Linked DNA regions of Tamandua tetradactyla. The protein of the gene in region 1 interacts with the protein of each later gene in a biochemical or structural test. Links are inferred from orthologs where the notes say so. Each region holds a gene or a part of one and is shown in the gene's direction. Other genes may lie near its edges. The genes, in order: NFE2L2 and ENC1.

Region 1 (8,981 bases):
TATATGAGTTAAAATCGGCTTTATAGATATACACCTCTTTGCACAAGTAGTTTGTATAATGAGGTATACATATCAAGGAACCAAGGTTATGGGTGTGTTTGCAAATTAATACACCAATGATTTTGAATACTGCTCTACTGGAGTTCAGTTTATTCACTGGGCAGGGACTTCTCAGGTTCAAATTCCCTAATCAGATATTTAGTTGAGTATCTTACATAACTCATATAAATGAAATCATGTCAGGGCCAGAGTCTCTGTATGCATTTATGCCTCCATCTACATAAGTGTCGGAGTATCTGTGTTTCTTAACTGTTTTTTTTTTTTTTGTATGCTATATGGCGGGGTCACATTTAATTATTTTCCCATGTGAGTATCCGTTATTGCAGCACCATTTGCTAGATTTTTGTTTGTTTGTTTTTTGGGAAGTGCATGGACCTGGAATCTGTCTAACCTGGGTCTCCCACAAGGCAGGCGACAATTCTACCACTGAACTACCCTTGCACCCCCTTAACTGTATTTTTTTTCCCTTAATTGTATTTTGATAAGAAAAATATTTTATCATCTATTTAATGGTATGGAAATTGGTGCATGATGTGATCAGGTGATTTAGTTTGTATGGAGAAACAAGTATATATTACTGGAAAAATAACTTCTTTATTCCCAAAGAGGTCAATTAGCTTCGGAGGGATGAGACCCTATTAAATTGCAACTACCATCCCTATATGTGTTCCCAGCGATGGTTAACAAACAAAAAGCAGCCAATAGAACCCTGCCTTTGATATTCAATACATGCTGATTGGCTTATCTATTGCTATGAAACAAACCACCCTAAAATTCAGTGGCTAAAAACAAGTTAATTATATTCTTTCACAATTCTTTGGGTTGACTGGTCTGTCTAGGCAGTTTTCTACGGTCTTGCTTGGAGTCTTTCATGCAATGGTAGATAAATAGCAAGTGAGGGTGGAGTCCTCTGGGGGCTTGACTTCATTGACAAATTTGGTGCCTTGGTTAATATAGACAGATTCTCTCCACTTGAAGTCCCATTTTCCCTATGGTTTCTCTCGCCATTAAGGAAGTCAGACTTCTTACATGATGCCTGACTTCCAAGAGTGTAAATTGAAAGCTACCAAGCCTTCCTAAGTCTTAAACCTGGACCTGGCAAAGTGTCACTTCTGGCCTCCCTTCATCAGCTAAAGCAAGTCAGAGGGCCAGCCTTGATTTGATGTGGGAGAGAACATACAACAATATCAAAATCAGGAGGGGTGGTTCATTGGAGGCCATCTTTGGAAACTAGCGACCCCATATACTTCAACTGTAAGGTGGACAAAGTAGAATTTCAACTATAATTCCAGGAGTTTCTGAATATTTTCTGGCTCAAAGAGGAAGTAAAATTGAGAGGAAGCAAGAAGAAGGAAGAGGCCTCAAGGTGATGGAGGATTTTTAAACAGTAGGTATGTTCTAGGGCCTTGCAACTTGGCAGACTACAGTATGGAGAAGAAGGTGAACAAATGGTCAATGCATGACCTTTATCCTAAATTTGTGAACTCAGAAGGCTTACTTGATAATGCTCATCTTTATGAGAACTCTAGCATAAGACATTACAAGTCTGACACATTACAAGACTATATAGGGGGCTTTCTTTCCAAAGACAGGAAAGAATTCAGACATCAGTGGAAATCTAGGGTCAGTAGATTGTAAAGCCAATTGGGAGAAAAAGCAAAATAGTAGGCTAGAAGAGGATGGTAGTAAAAAGGGCCCCCATGGCATCAGGAAGATGAGAAAAAACAGCACCTCCTCTTTCCTGCTTTCCTGGAACCTCCCGATAAGCAGTATGTGCACCTCCATAGCAGAATTTGCAAGTGTAGAGGGCAAAGCTAGAGCCAAGGCTCTCTCATGGAGACAATTCTTATCTTAGTGTTTCTAAAACTGGAAACCTCTTTGACATGAGTCTTCTGAGACTGGGATTCCCTTTTCTTGTGCTGAACCACCATTCAGTGCCAAATGGCTTTTCCTAATGTCTTTATTTCTTAAACACGTTCAGACTCTCACCATGTTGTTCTCCTCCCTTTGAAAATATGTACTTTGCAGGTGCCTGAAATAATATACCCATAGTAAATTGCAGTTTTGTGTAAGTGAAGATTATTTCATTCAGTCTAAACTCAATGGAACTCTTGTTGCTTAACAAAGAAATACCAAATACTTTATAAACTCCTTGAGGGCAGCAACCATATCATATATGATTTGTGTATCTCCTATCTCCTAGACTCTTTGTCCACCTTCTTATGTAGTAGTTTTAAAAAGTAACTCAAATTGTTAACAATATATTCTTGTCTTTTTTCTTTGATGCAGAAATGTCATTTCATTATGATGTCTCTGCATAGTTCATGTCAGGTTCTTTGTAAATAATTTCTCCCAAGCTTGTTTTCAGTGCGCAGATCCTTTTGCAGGCTTTTCACATAACAGCTGAATGGGTTTATGGCTGAAGAAGCTTGCTTCAATTACAAGTAATTAATTTAGGCTTCACCTTTCTCAAGGATTATTTGAAGATATAATTTACAGGTAAGTCCGGGGCGTGTCAAATTATGCAACCAAGATAAAATAAATTCTACAGTTTATTGGAAAGAGAGGAGGCAGATTCTTGAATGACATAGTAAAACCACTGCCAACACTATCTACTTCACTTCCTTTCTAATAATCCCAAGAAGCTAGAAACTGAAAACCAGTTTAAAAATTAGAAACATCAGGGAAAAAACGCCATTTCTCTTTTGTTTTATATAAGATTTCACAATATTCCTATTTTCAAATACTTAATGTTATGTAATGATTAATTTTTAAATAACTTTTTTAATGTAGAAAGTAATACATATTCATTGTAGGTTTAAAGCATAAGGTAATAAAAGAGAAAGATAAAATCCGTTCACGATCCCACATTTATTATTTTGGTGAACATCCTTAATTTTTTTCCTAGGCATGTTTTTTAAAAACGGGCCCATACTCTACTAACCGTTTTGTAACTTCGTCTTTTTTTTTTTTAACTATATCGTGAATAAATTGAAAATAAAGTCAAGAATTTTAGCATGTTGTAGCGTTACACCATTCCGTGGCGTGGTTTGTGCACCTTGGTAGGAAAAGAAAGCTCGTGGGGTTCCCATTTTTGCCCAGCTCTCGGCGGGTAATATTGACCACTCTGTGACCAAAGGGGACTTCTTCCTTTGACCTTGGCAATCTGACCCTATCGAGAGTGCAAACGTATGGGAGTAAGTAGAGGGCGTTCAGGGTGACTGCAAGCCCGAACTCCCGGTGCGGTCCACACCTCCCCTGGGCAGGACCTGCTTGCCTCCGCCCCGGCGGAAACAGAGGGCGAGAGGGCAGTTCGCGGTGCGCACCACCTGGGTTTTAGCTCTCCTCCCCTCCCCCCGCCCCCCGGGCTGGCGCCACTCTCAGGCGGCGGGGTGTGATAAAGCAGGGCAAGGTTCTGTAACTTCAAATCAGGGAGGCGCAGATCCGATACCAGCGCCCTTGCCCGGTCTTCGGGCGTGTTTGTTACAACTGTTTGAAAGCGCCCAACCCCAGCGACCTTCGGCAAACAACTCTTAATCTCCCGGGTGGAGACCACTGGTCTTATTTGAGAGGAAGACAAACTGAGCGCGGGGACAGAGGAGCTAAAGGAAGCTTGCGCTCACCACCCCGCCAGCCCGCGACCGCCCACAGGGACCCGGGCCCGCGGCCCTTCCGGCGCCGGGACCCTGAGCTCTTGCGTCAGCCGGGCGGGGGTGGGGAATTTTCGCAGGCTTCGCTTGCACCGCAAGCCGGGGAAGGAAGGGCCCAGGCTCTTGCCCCGCCTTCGGGAGGGCGGGAGGCGGAGCGGGGCAAGAGCAACGCCGGCGACTCAGGCGGTGTAGCCGAGCGGCGAGCGCCGGGCAGCCCGGAGGAGTCGCCGCCGTCGCCACTGCCTCCGTGTCCGCGCCTCGGCAGTCGGGTTCAGGGCAGTCGTCGGGGAGCCCCAGCCCACGGTCCCCAGCTCAGCATGATGGACTTGGAGCTGCCGCCGCCGGGACTACCGTCCCAGCAGGTGCTGTCCCTGCCCTCGGGGCTCCGCGGAGGTGCAGGGACCGGGCAGGGGCGGGCGGGGTTCGCGGCCCTAGAGGGACAGCCGCCAGCGTTTCTCCTCCCGTCTGTGGCCGGAGCAGGGACTGCAGCGGCCAAGAACTGGAGCCTGGAGGAGGGTAGCGGGGGCCTAAGGGGGCGCGAGGGAGTGGAGATGAGGTCGGGTGTCCTGACAGACGACGAGTCCTCAGCACCCGAGGGAGCCTGGAGCGGAGGGGTCTGGGGGGGGGGGCGTAACTTGCCGCGTGTCCGCTCCCTAGCGCTGGGACGCGGGAGCCTCCGCCGGTCCCCCGAGTTTGAGCGGCCCAGAGGCTGCAGAACAGGAGGGGGTGGACACCCGCGGTCTGAGCCGGCGCAGCCCGGCCCTTCCGCTGCTGCGCGTCTCCCCCGCCTCGGAGCCGGCAAAAATGTGCCTAGTCACGGGGCCACTCTCGGGGGAGCTGAAGTCTTTGCTAGGCCGGACTCAGAGGCCCTCCTCGGCCACCGCCTCAGGTCTCAAGACCTTCGCGGGTGCGAGCTGTCGTGCAGCGCGCCCACCCCGTTGGGCCGTCTATGGGTACTTCTTTGCAAAGTAATCAGTCACTCCGTCAACTCAGTCTTTGGCCGCCTTGAGCTAGAAAGCTCAGCCTTCAGGGGAGGGAGGAGGTCATGAAGTGTCCATCGCTCTCTAACGCCCCGACGTGCCGCAAGACCCAGCCCCACGCGCATCCTCCGACCGCGGCAAAGGTTTGGGATCCGGAATTCAGGACCCACCCGGTCGGCCCCTCGCTGCCCCGCGGAAAGTGCGGGCGAGGGGCGGACTGTGAAGTCCGAGTTCGCGGCGCCCAAGACTTTTGGTTCCGGGCGCTGTGCCTCCCGGTGGCGCACGCCGCGTGCGTGGCTGCGGCCTGCGTGACAGGGGCCGGTTGGCTGTCACGGAGGCCCTTGGTTGGCCCTTTCCTGCTTTATAGCGTGCAAACCTCGCCGCGGCCAAGGGACAAGTTGGAGCTGTTGATCTGTTGCGCAATTGTTATTTTCCCCAGGGCGGCTTTGTCTTTGGATTTAGGATTTCTGAATTGCAATTCCAAAATGTGTAAGGGAGGATTATCTGTTCTGTGCTGTAAAGGGTAAGAGTTGAGAGTGTAGATTAGAATTTTTGTTGCTTTTAGGGTCATTTTGTTGGCGTTCAGCTATTATTCTCCCCTTGGGTGCCTTATATATGTTTTCTTTTCTGTTTGAGAATTTGCCTCATTTCTTAGCATGTTGATTCTTTTGCAAGGAGGGTGGGAAACTTCTGTTTTCATAATGGTTTGCTAACAAGTTCTGTAAATTGTTATAAAAGTGAAAACAAATTTCCTTTCATACTTTGTAGGAACTTTTTAAAGTAGTAGATATTTGTATATTAGAATTTAAGAAAAAATTTTGGTTGATGGCAATTTGTAACTTGATAGATAGTGATAAATTTGTTAATGCTCTTGAATATAAAGTTTTAGTTTAATCCTGAAACTCTGATGTAAGCTTTTGAGCTATTGACGATGTATTCATTGTGCTGTTGTTTTCTTTAAAGTCTTGGACTTTCCCTCATTAGTGACTGGGATGGTATTCTTCTAGTTCCCGATAGTATGAAGAAGTAAATTGTACTTTCCTATTTAGCTTCTGTTCAAGAGTAATCTGTAGGAATGCTTTTTTGACCAATGCACGTATGAGCCAATGGACTTCAGTTTTCCTGTATTCAGGAATTGTAGTCTAGAGCACTCTATTTCCCACACGTGGGGAAGCAACGTGTAGGAGGATAAATGCACAACTCACTCAAGTCTTTCTGCATTAAAATAACTTGGGCCATTTGAAGTATTTATTTCTTTCTTGCTAACTTGGGATCTTATAAAAAATGCTGGGAAAAAAGTTTCTTTTTCCAGGCAGATTTGAAAGCCCAATGTTTTATTATTTTTTTAATATTTGTTTTTATTCAAGATGACTACTCAGAAGATGATGTGAGAAAAGGAACCCTCTTTTTTTTTCTGGGAATTTCCTCTCTCTGGCTTAACACATTTAAAGGGGGCTTTTGTGTAAATAATATTTCCTCTTTAAATTTTCCTTGAACCTGGGTTAACATTTTTCAGCATAAACTCTTGGGTGCAGAAAGAATTTGGCACTAAGATGATAATAACTGATATGAGTTATTGGGCACTTCCAATGAGCTAGACTGTGTGCTAATTGCTTCGCATGCATAATTTCACAGTCACCCCATACGAAATACTATTATCTTCTTTTTGCAGGTGAGAAAGGAGGCAGAGAGAGGCTAAAAGTTCTGCTTTAGGTGACCCAGCCGTTGAGTCGTGGAGGTAGGACTGAATCTGAGGCAGTCTGACTCCAGTGGCTCTTAAACACTTTAGGACTAGATCAAAACTAGTAAAACTTTAAACAGGAGGAAGTCTCGGGCTTTATAAAGTGGTAAGTTGAGAAAAACTGGGGAAAGAGGGTCAGGAATTTGAAAGATGAATGTAGACACCTTTTCAGGTTACCAAGAAATTTGATAACTGTTTGGGAGGAAGGAGGTAGACCTTGTGATATAAAATAAGAGTAAATACCAGCCTGTCAATGTAATTACCGCACGTGATCCTTTTAAGAAAGACAGAGGCCTAGGTGGTTTTAATTTAGAGAGGCAGAACCATTTGCTAACATAATAATTTTAAAACTTCCTGGGATTTTAACAGTGTCCTTGTTTCTGTCTCCCAATTCCCAGAGATAACTTTCCTTTTGTTAAGTTAAATCTCGTAGTTACGGAAGTTTTTGTTTACCTTTGTTTGCCTTACTGGTTGGTATATTTTCCGATTCAGTGGCACTTTTTATTTTGAAGTAGTGATCAAAAATAAATTTTTTGATGAGGTTATGGTGAAGAGTGGGACTGACAGGGTTAAACCAGGTTGAAGGAACTTGGGTAGAAGGGGGTGAATTCTAGTTGAATACAGCTAGCAGAAACCTGTTGGCGCAGATTAAACACTAATCCCCTGTTTTGGCACTTACAAACTGAAGCAAGTGGAAGGGCTCACGTCTATCTAGGTGAAGCTTATTTGGGACTTTGGGAATAGTGCATTTCAAAATTAAATACTTTATTTCTTAATCCTTGTCGTTAAACAAATTATATTTGGGATTATTGTTGTATTTGTCTGTGTTAAAAGTTTGCTGCTGGACTTTTTGGATCCAATGGGTGATTTGCCTAAGAGTAAATCAAGGGTATTTAAATGCTTGGCCGAATAACTTGTAGAAGGTTTTCAGAAATACACATACCAAAGATAGAAGGACAGGTTTACCAAATGTAGTACTTAGCTGCTTCTCTTCACCTGTAGTTAGAGAAACATGCTTAAGCTTAACATAAGATGGACAATAAAGTTTGTTTTGATAATCTGATTTCTAAGAGTTACTGAAGTTTTATTGCTTTTTAAACAAAGCCTCCAGCAAACATTTATTTAAGAAGGGCTTTGTGGAGACAATAACAATGAAATGTAATACGCATTTCTGGATGGGATCTAACAGGAGAAAAGACTCAAAAGAACTTCATTGAAACATGTCAGAAATTTGGAATATAGACTATAAGCATTTTATCAGTGTTAAATTTATTGAACTTGATAACTGTGCTTAAGGTGGTTATATAAGTGAATAACTTTGTTCTTAGGAAATGAACTTGGCAGTGTTATGTGTATAGGCTTAAGCTTCTTGAATTGATAATGGTTTGAAGGCAAAAGTATGTTCAAGAGTTTCGTATTTATATTCTCATTCAGTATTGGAAAATATGATCAGTGTTCTTACACTAAACCACCCTTAAAAAGATTTGTTACAAGACTACCAAACAATATCCTGCCCTATCTGAAGTTGGAATTTTCTATGTCAGCTATAATAACTCTTAATATTAAGAATATTAGAAACTCAGAGTGGAAAGCACTTTTACCCAACAGTTTTTATGGCATATGTACTATAAAATACTTGTGTGTCATGAAGTTTGATGTTTCAAAGTCTTGTGTGTGTGTGCGTGCGCCTGTAAGTTTGGTCCGAACTGTGGTAAAGACAAATCCAGGAAATTAAGAAGGATTTAGAGCACTAAGTTCACCTTTCAAAGACTCTTTTGATAATTGACTCTTGAGCGTCATTGTAATCCATCAATAGCCTGTATTCCGAAGGATTACAAAACATTCCTTGGCAATGCTGACTAATTATACCTTTTTCATAAGGTTAGAAATTGAGACTTTGAGACCTCTATTACTGGGAGCACAGTGATGAGCTCTACTGCTTTTTCAATTCGGAGAAGAATGATTGGGTTAGAAAAGAAAAATAGCATCACTTTGGCTTTGATGCCTCTTTCTGGACATGTAGCTTTTATTTTCTGATTACTTGGATTTTTCTCTATACATGACTTTTAAAATCTTTGTTGATGCTTGTTTTGCCTGTGAATCTGTTTTTTTTTCCCTACAGCTAGATTGTAAATTCCTTGAGAACTGGACATAGATTTTATATTAAAAAAAAAATTTATTAAGATACTACTTATCATATAAATCACCCATTTAAAATATTTAGTTCAGTGTTTAGTGTATTAATGGAGTTGTGCAGTAATCACCACAAGCAACTTTAGAACATTTTCATCATCCCAGAAAGAACCCTCCTACCCGTTAGAAATTACCACCCCTTATCTGTTTTACTTGCCTATGGATTTACCTATTCTGGTACGTTTCATGTAAGTGGTACTATTCAATATGTGGTCTTTTGTGACTGGCTTCTTTCACCTAGCATAATGTTTTCAAGGTTCATCCACATTGTAGGATTTATCAGCACTTCATTCCTTTCTATTATTGAATAATATTCCATTGTATGATATGCCACATTTTAGTTACATTCTTGTGTAA
Region 2 (8,981 bases), on another chromosome or scaffold:
GAGAATGCCTTCTTCCTGCTCAGGCTGTTGGCCGTCCTGGACTTCTCTGGCACATGGCAGGGGATACTGCGGTGCCTTTGCCAGGTGTCCTCGCTTTCAGCTTCTGGATGCTCCATCTGTAGCCTTCTCTCGCAGCTTCTATGTCCTTTTCTCCATCTTCTGTCTTTCTCTGAATTTCATTCTCTTATACAGGACTCCTTATGGTTAAGAGGAGTAGAACCCCCTCTGGGGCAGGCTTCCACTGAAATGACCCAACCAGAACCACCCACAATAGGTCTACACCCGCAGGAATGGGTCAGCTTTGAGAACATGATCTTCTGGGGCCCATAATGTCTCTAAACCAACAAAGCACCCCAGCTCAGCTTCTCCCTCTGCCTCTCCTGCCTCCTCCCCTACCTTCCCCAGGTGTAAGGAGGGCTGGGAGGTGCAGTTCCCGACCCAACACGACATCCCACATCCCAACACTAGCGTGAAACTGCAGAAGGAGCACAAGTCCTGGGTGGATGGCTGGTCCCCGCTGCCACACTGACTACAGGGCACAGGCTTGAAGCCCATCTCACAAACAGCACAAGTCCTGGGCGGACGGCTGGTCCCTGCTGCCACACTGACTACAGGGCACAGGCTTGAAGCCCATCTCACAAACAGCACAAGTCCTGGGCGGACGGCTGGTCCCTGCTGCCACACTGACTACAGGGCACAGGCTTGAAGCCCATCTCACAAACAGCACAAGTCCTGGGCGGACGGCTGGTCCCTGCTGCCACACTGACTACAGGGCACAGGCTTGAAGCCCATTTCACAAACAGCACAAGTCCTGGGCGGACGGCTGGTCCCTGCTGCCACACTGACTACAGGGCACAGGCTTGAAGCCCATCTCACAAACAGCACAAGAAAGGGAAGCTGTGCCTTTGTCCTCACCCACACTTGAGAAGGGAATCAAAAGACAAAGAGGGTGCTTTGGGAACCCTGGCGGGGACATGTCTGAGATTTGGGTGGGGCTCCGGTGGGTCACAGAAGGCAGGATGGCAGCTGCTTAGCCCCTGCCCCACTGCTCGGTCTCTCCCTGGAGCTGTCCTATCCCTGGTCCCATGATTGTACGAGGTTAATTAAATCATTCTCATTAATTCAGCCCAAGTGTAAATTAGGAAGAAATGAAGATAAATTAGGTTTGAAGGTAGCTAATACGCTTAACCCCATGCTGCTTATTTTGCAGCCTAACAAAATAAGGTTGTTAAGGGAGATAACAAGGCCAAAGCCTTGGGCACAGCTTACTAGCATTAAAAATGAGACCTCAGTGTAGTGTCAAAAGGGAGAGCTGAAGACCAGCTCCCAGAGTCCGCTGGCACTGGCCTAACATCTTGAGTGAGGTGGTGGCCACTGTAGAAAGTAGACACCTAAGACATTTCCTGAGTTGTTTCATACTCAGCCCATCCATTACTCCCTCTATCGTCTGGCTTGTTCCGAGGTCTGCTGGAGGTATCTTCCTGGAGAGACACAGGTCTGGCTCACTTTTCTTCCCAGGAGTGGCATGGTCAGGGGTACCTTTAGGATTGGCTGGGAGATGTTGCAGGAATTAAGCACTTTGACGTGCTAGGATGTTAAATATGCTAACTTACAAATCACTTGCAGTTGGAGGATAAACATTAGAAACTGCCCGCAGGCCCCAAAACTTTTGATACATTTGTTCAAGCAAACACGTGTACACTTGGTAGGAGGTCACTGGCGGCACACACTTTGCAAAAACACAAGTTTAGTTCCTGTGTCTTTCAGCAGGAAAAGGTTTTCCAGTTTTTATAATCTATATAATTTCTCTGCCTCACGTTTCTTATCTCCTTGAGGCAGATGAAGTAATGTGTATGGTCTCGAAATACATTTCGAGATTTTCTGGGCTAACACTATTTTTTTCCTTGAGGTACAGAAAAGTGGCGCTGTCAGGTAGACGAGACACTGGAAAATGCTGTCAGCGGATGCTGGCACATGGCTAAGGAATTTCACCCCTTTCTTAGCCTGCCTGCTTAGCAAAGCTCTTTGCAAAAGCAAGTAAACCTGCTGCCCCTTAGTTTAGGACATTCTGCAATTTCCAGGTGGTAAAAATGCAAGAGAAACCTATGCCCTGTTCCTAGCTCTATGGCTTCGTGAAGCAAAACCAGCCGACCTATTTACGTATTTCGTTCCCAGGCAAGGTCCTCTGGGTAGAGTTCTAGGTAGATTTGGTAAGAGACTGAAGTAAAAGGAAGGACTTTTCTTTAATGAGAAAAAGTGTTACTCTCTTAGCCTAAACAGAAAATGTCCCCAAATGGAAGACATTAACACTTTGTCTTCAAAATCACCTTTGCTTGCTTTTAACCCACACCCCAAACAGAGTGCTCTAGGAGGCTGTGACCAGTGTCCCCCGCACCTTGCCGCAGGCTACAGACAGACATGCCATAGATGCACATTTCCACCTTCTATCTTTTCGGCATCTATTGCTGAGGTATACAGTGTTTCTGTACGTTTGTTCTTCGTAGAATCTTCTCCAGAAACAGAGTTCTGCTCCCAGAGCTATTCTCTCCGCCCAGGGCCCCCCAGGATTGCCCGTGGGGCCACAGTGACTGGATGGGGCCCGTCTCTGCCTGTGGGAAGGAGTCTGGAGCCGAGGCTCTGCAGAAAAAATCCAAACACGAAACGGATTTTTTAAGACTCGTGTGGCTGATGAGTAAATGCTAGCAAAGGACTTCAGAGGGCACTGTTTTCCTTTGTTTGCAGGGAGTGGGGTTCCCCGAATGCCAGGAGGGAATGCGGGTAGAGGAACCCGGGATTAGAATAAAGAGCTGAGTCTCGGTTCCAGCCGTTTGTGGGCCCCGGGGGCGCAGCTGGAGCCGGGGGGCCCCCACTCCTGCGCCCAGCATTTTAAAGAAAGCTGAGGCGGGCGAAGGAGGCCGGCACAACCCACAGGCCGAGGCCTCGCGAGCGGCGCGGCTGCGCCACTTGTTAAGCGCCCTGGGGCCGGCCAACTCCCGTCTTCTGTGTGAGACGTTTGCCCCCAAAAGCCGCCTGCAGCCCCACAGGGGTTTTAGCTCTTGGCGGACAGAAGAGCCTTTGTGCAGAGACAAGAAAGGGGGTTCCTAAGCGGTCTGGGGCGTGCGGCGTTACTTCCCGGGTGGCCTGCCTTCCTCCCGGCCCGCAGAGGCGCTTTGCAGGCGTGTGTACCGGACTCAGCACCGAGCCCACGGTGCGACGGATGTGGGAAAAGCCGGATCTCAGGGCTCGGCCCAGGCTGGCTGCACCGCCCGGAGCGGGGCCGGGGCGCTGGGAGGGGAGGGGCGCAGAGCCGGCCTGCGCGGGGACCCGGGCCGCGGGGGCCCGCGCCCAGGACACGTGGGAGACGCCCACAGCTTGCAGGAAACCCTCAGCCCGCGACCTGCAGTGTCCCCGGAGTGTCCAGCCATGTGCCCCTTCCCTCGTCGCTGCCCCCCATCCGGAGTCCTAAGCAGGACGTGGGTCGCGGGCGCCCAAGGCGGCCTGCGCCCCGTTCCCGAGCATCTCGGCGGACTGTGACGGCGCGGGGCCGGGATCACCGGCACGGCTCCCTCAGCTGCGGGACTGGCCATCGGTGAGCCACTCGGGCCGGCTTCGTCTCGGTCCCCAAGGCTCGGCAGCTGCGGGCGGCAGAGACCCAGCGGCCGCCTCGTCCCTCCCCGCGCGGCCGGCCCGCCCCCCGCTTCCTGTGCCCGGCAACTCCCCCGCCGCCCCTCGGCCGGCGCCGCGCGCCCTCCCCTCCCCCCCGACCGCTTCCTCGGCCCGCGCGCCCCTCCGCCTCCTCCCCCTCCCCCCGCCTCCTCCCCCACCCCGCCCTCCCCCTCCCCCTCCCCCCTCCCCGCTTAAAGCCGGCGCTCCGCCGCCCGGCGCAGTCCGCTCCGGCAGCCGAGGAGGAGGCGCACGGCGGCAGCGGCGCTCCCGAGCCCAGACGCGGGCGTGCGCGGCGCCGTCCTGCTCCCTCCCCCGGCGCTCCGCCCGCTCGGCTGCCCCGGAGACGCACTCCGCGGCGTGGGGACCGCGGACCCGGACGAGCCGCCGGCGGTGGCCGTCCCCGCGCGCTCCTCCCCTCGGCCGGCGCTGCTGCGCCCCGGGCCTTGCCGCCCACCTCGCCCCCCGCGCGCGCGCCGAAACCCAGGCCGGAACGAGCCGGCCGTGCGCGGAGGCCGCCGCCGCCGTAAGTTCCCTCCGCCGCCGACCTGTTGCGGGCCCCGGCGGGCGGTTGGCCGGGGCTGCTTGGCCGCGGGGCGGGTTCCTGGAGGGGGGTTTGGTGCGCGCCCCAGGGCCGCGAGCTCCGAGCCGGGCCAGCTGTGCCCGTGCAGGGACCGCGCGTGCCTCTGCCCGCCCGCGGGAAGCAGGAGCCGGGCGCCGCGGTGGGGAGAGTGGCGGGGACAGAACCACGCAGGCTCACGCCCCCCACGCCGCCGCGCGTGTTCCTGTGACCTGCAAACCTCGGGACCGAGTGCGCCGGGAGAGTGGGGGCCACGCGTGCACACGTCCCGAGTGGACACACCGGCCAGGCAGAACGGAGTGTCCCGGGAGCGGCTGAGACTGGTTGCTGAACAACCGGTGCTCGGTCTTTAGGGGAACGTTACTCATTTCCGAGCCTAGGGCTTGGCGGGCGGGTGGCGACGAGACGCGAAGTTTGTTGGCCACGCAGTGTCGTGTCGCCCTCGCCGGCCCCGGCCGCGAGCCGCCAGCGTTTAGAGGACTGGAGGGCAAAGCGCTTTTCTTGCTCAGATCTTTAAGGTGGCGTTCCAGGAACGTCAGTACCCGAGGAAAGCTGCCCGGTTTCTCCTTTGAGCTGAGATCAAGTTCAAAACCTGGTGAGATGGGACGGGACGGGACGTGAAGGGCCAGGGCAGAGAGACCGACCAGGAGCCCGTTTGACGCCCACCCAGCAGCAGCCCTCTCCCGGGTATTCTTTGTAGACACAGGTTAGGGACTATGTGTGCATTTTCTCGGTCACTCGGCACGCACATATTTCTCTGGTGGCTTCAAACAATGCCGAAAGGAGGAGTCATTTCATACTGAAGGTGTGTTTACTGAGTGTGTGAATGGTTTCTGCAGATATTTTGATGTCTGCATAATTTTGAATCCAGAAAGCAAGTCATTCCCTTCGGCCTTTAAGTTTACTTTTTATTTTAATCAAGCACCACTGCGAGAGGGTTATTATTTGTCCGTGGCATGTTTTTCCATCTGGATGGCGTCCAAGATGATGGGCCAGGTTCTTCCTTTTCTGGCTTGATGTGCCAAACTTGCAGGAGCACAAACACAGGTTTGCAAAGAGGCGGGTAACTCCTATATCCTAGATCGCGTTATTTAAGTGTAAGTCTGGTCGTGGGTGCTGTTTTACATTGCCCAGGATCCAATGTTCTGGGGCCCAGCGTGATTCTAGCTCAGCCTCAGGCACTTGGGTGCCTGTGTGCCTGGCAGCAGCAGAGCCTCATTCCTCAGCGAGAGCTGCTTTGGCTCTGAGCCTTCCAGGAAGCAGCTTTTGAGGTTAGTTGTGATGCATTAGCTTTTCTTAAAAAGCATAGCTACTCGTTTCCCATTTTTGTAAGTTTCTGTATCAGGCATAAGAGAATTTATCCACACTTTTGAGGGTTAGGCTTAAAATCTTCCACAGAGTACTTTAAGTGGAATGTATTGCTTAAAGTGACGATGAGAGTGTAGCGCCTGGAGGGTACTAAGACATGCTTTGACACTTTGAAAGCCTGGCGCGTTCACGCAGATTTGCATTGCTCGTCTTCTAGAGTGTAGGCACGGATTTAAACAGACCGGACAGTAGAGGCTTAGATCGAAGGGGGGGTGATGTTTGGCTTCTCATCATTTTTCATATCCCACGTCACGGTGAAGACCTCACTGTAGGCTGAAAAGCTTCTTAGTGCCAGAGCCTTAGGGCTCTTTCCTGTACTTTCTTCCACTAAACCCTGTTTACTCATAACAAGAAGTCACATTCCAAAATAAAGGGAAACAAGTTGCATCATCTAATGGTATGTGGCCTGGTGTCCAGGGCACATATGGCACCTACATGTGCTGTTTGCTGTGCCCACTGCTCACCATAGGAAGTGCAGTTTAGTAGTGCAGCCCGTGAATATGGGGTAAAGCATGCATTTGCATTTATTCATATGTCCGATTTGCAAAGCAAAGAAAATACGTATCTGAGTATTGGAGAAAACACTGAGGGTTTCAGTTGTGCGGAGAGCATTGGCTGTTCTGGGGTTGGAACAGATACTGTAGCCACACAGTTTACCTACTTGGAATAAACATCTTCTGTAGGAACTCTGACAGGCAGGCTTCTGAAGGTTTTGTTCTTTTGAAATTGCAGAAAGGTATGTGTCAGAAAGGATGCGTGAGTCAATTCCTGCAGACAGATGGTAAGGAAAGATAAGGGTGCCATGTCCAGTATCTTTAGCCTACAGTGTTTTTACTGAAGAAAGTCAAAAGATAACATTAGGTGTGCTGTAATTTCATTTTTGACACCGAGGGAAGCAGAGTAACCAGCACATACATTCCAGGATGGCCTTAATTTAACTGTGGCTGGCAAAATACCATATACGTTTAGCTGTGTGTTTTTACATGTGTGTATTTATTTAAGCAGTTATATTCACATACCCTGCAATTCATCCAGCATATATAATCTGTGGCTCTCGGCATGATCACAGCGTTGTGCTTTCATCACCACAATCAAACTTTGAACCTTTTCATTGCTCCAAAAAGAAGAAAAAAAACACACCCCTTATAACCCCGTAATATTGACACTTAATGCTGGTGTGGTACCTTTGTTACAGTTGATGGAAGAGTATTGTAATATTGCTGTTACCCATAAACTCTAGTTTGCATTAGGTCTGTTTTCTCCCCATACCACCCTAATATTAATGCATAATAGTTACGTGCATCAGTGCTAGTTCATGAAAGAAATTCTTATATTTGTACTATTAACTACCTTCATTGTTCACAGCAGAGTTCACTGTGTTATACAGTCCCATGTTTCACCCTCTAGCTTTCCTTCTAGTGACATCCACAATCCTAAACTCCCTGCCTTTCACCCACAGTCGCACACCTTGTGTGTGTCATTTTAACTTTAAATAAAGCAGCTTTAGACTTTTGAACTCCCTACAGGCAGGTGCCGGCATTTGCAGGGACACAAGAACTGTCCTGGTGATGTGCCATTTAGGCAAAAAAGAGAGGGGTAGGCAGTCCCTATATCCTTGCAAGTGGTTTTCCAGGAATTGGCATAAAGCAGGAAGAGCAGAAAAATGCTGCTCAAAAAGAGCATCTGGATGTTATGTGTCCAGATGCTCTTTTTGGGAGGTGTCCGGAGTAAGAAAGGTCGGTGGTGACCGTGTCCTACATCTACTCTGTGTTATTCACTGAGCCTTCTGGCCACTGTGTGCTGATTTATACTGGGGTGCTTTTAGGTTCCTGAGGTGCGGTAGAGCTGGTCACCAGAGAAGTGACCTAAGTTTGTGATTTTAATCTTACTTTTCCTATTTACTGTAAATGCAGGGAGCCTGGGTCTTACCAAAGGAATTCTCAGGGGAATTAATTAGTAGGTGTCGTTTTACAGAATAGCTTTATGCTGCACAGGGCATTAAAGCCGATGCCCATCCTGGCGTTACGAGAGCAGGAGGCCTGGCATTTTCCAGTGATCTGCAGTGAATCAGCTGGGCCGGGACAGGGAGGTGTGAGAAGGAGACCTGGTTCTCCTCACCTTCTGCTGACTTAGGTTCTCAGGGACTTCGGGATGCTGAAAGCTGGCGATCAGGTTTTCCAAGATGAACCTGCTTCTGAGCAGAGATTTTTTTTTTTTTAACAGTGTACAGTTCAAATAGCTCAACAGTATGAAAGTTGAAAGCCTTTCCTGACAGATAATTAACTGCCTTTATCTTTGTGCTGGCATTGCTGTACCCTGTGGGGCTCACAGCAGAACGTTCTGCTTTCTTTGTCTGAAAAAAAGATAGTTGCTTTTATCCTGCTGCCCTAACATCAGCAGCATCGCATTCAGTGGCTTGGTTTTGTTTGTCTGTTTTCAGGAGCGGAAACAAAATGTCAGTCAGCGTGCACGAGAACCGCAAGTCCAGAGCCAGCACCGGCTCCATCAACATCTACCTTTTCCACAAGTCCTCCTACGCGGACAGCGTGCTCACCCACTTGAACCTGCTACGCCAGCAGCGCCTCTTCACTGACGTCCTTCTCCATGCCGGGAATAGGACCTTCCCCTGCCACCGGGCCGTGCTGGCTGCTTGCAGCCGCTACTTCGAAGCCATGTTCAGTGGGGGCCTGAAGGAGAGCCAGGACAGCGAGGTCAACTTTGACAGCTCCATCCACCCCGAAGTCCTGGAGCTGCTCCTCGACTATGCGTATTCCTCCCGGGTCATCATCAATGAGGAAAACGCAGAGTCGCTCCTGGAAGCTGGTGATATGCTGGAGTTTCAGGACATCCGGGATGCATGCGCAGAGTTCCTGGAGAAAAACCTGCACCCCACCAACTGCCTGGGCATGCTGCTGCTGTCCGATGCGCACCAGTGCACCAAGCTGTACGAGCTCTCCTGGAGGATGTGTCTCAGCAACTTCCAAACCATCAGGAAGAACGAAGATTTCCTCCAACTGCCCCAGGACATGGTGGTGCAGCTCTTGTCCAGTGAAGAGCTGGAGACGGAAGATGAAAGGCTCGTGTATGAGTCTGCAATTAACTGGGTCAGCTACGACCTAAAGAAGCGCCACTGTTACCTCCCAGAGCTGTTGCAGACAGTGAGGCTCGCTCTCCTGCCAGCCATCTATCTCATGGAGAACGTGGCTATGGAGGAACTCGTCACCAAGCAGAGAAAGAGCAAGGAGATCGTGGAAGAGGCCATCAGGTGTAAGTTGAAAATCCTGCAGAACGACGGCGTGGTGACCAGCCTGTGCGCCCGGCCTCGGAAAACCGGCCATGCCCTCTTCCTCCTGGGAGGACAGACTTTCAT

The links.
Region 2: the proteins of NFE2L2 (region 1) and ENC1 form a complex in vitro, tested with the Homo sapiens proteins (2 studies listed by BioGRID). The link is inferred for Tamandua tetradactyla from reciprocal best matches to the Homo sapiens genes NFE2L2 and ENC1.

What each region holds. Positions count from the first base shown.
Region 1 is NC_135329.1:149,518,252-149,527,232, reverse strand, and holds the start of NFE2L2 (nuclear factor erythroid 2-related factor 2), read left to right. Parts: upstream 1-3,863; 5' UTR 3,864-4,027; coding exon 4,028-4,072; intron 4,073-4,488; exon of another isoform or gene 4,489-4,678; intron 4,679-5,029; exon of another isoform or gene 5,030-5,213; intron 5,214-5,236; exon of another isoform or gene 5,237-6,428; intron 6,429-8,981.
Region 2 is NC_135347.1:57,736,176-57,745,156, forward strand, and holds the start of ENC1 (ectoderm-neural cortex protein 1), read left to right. Parts: upstream 1-4,134; 5' UTR 4,135-4,189; intron 4,190-8,051; 5' UTR 8,052-8,064; coding exon 8,065-8,981. UniProt on the Homo sapiens protein: Actin-binding protein involved in the regulation of neuronal process formation and in differentiation of neural crest cells.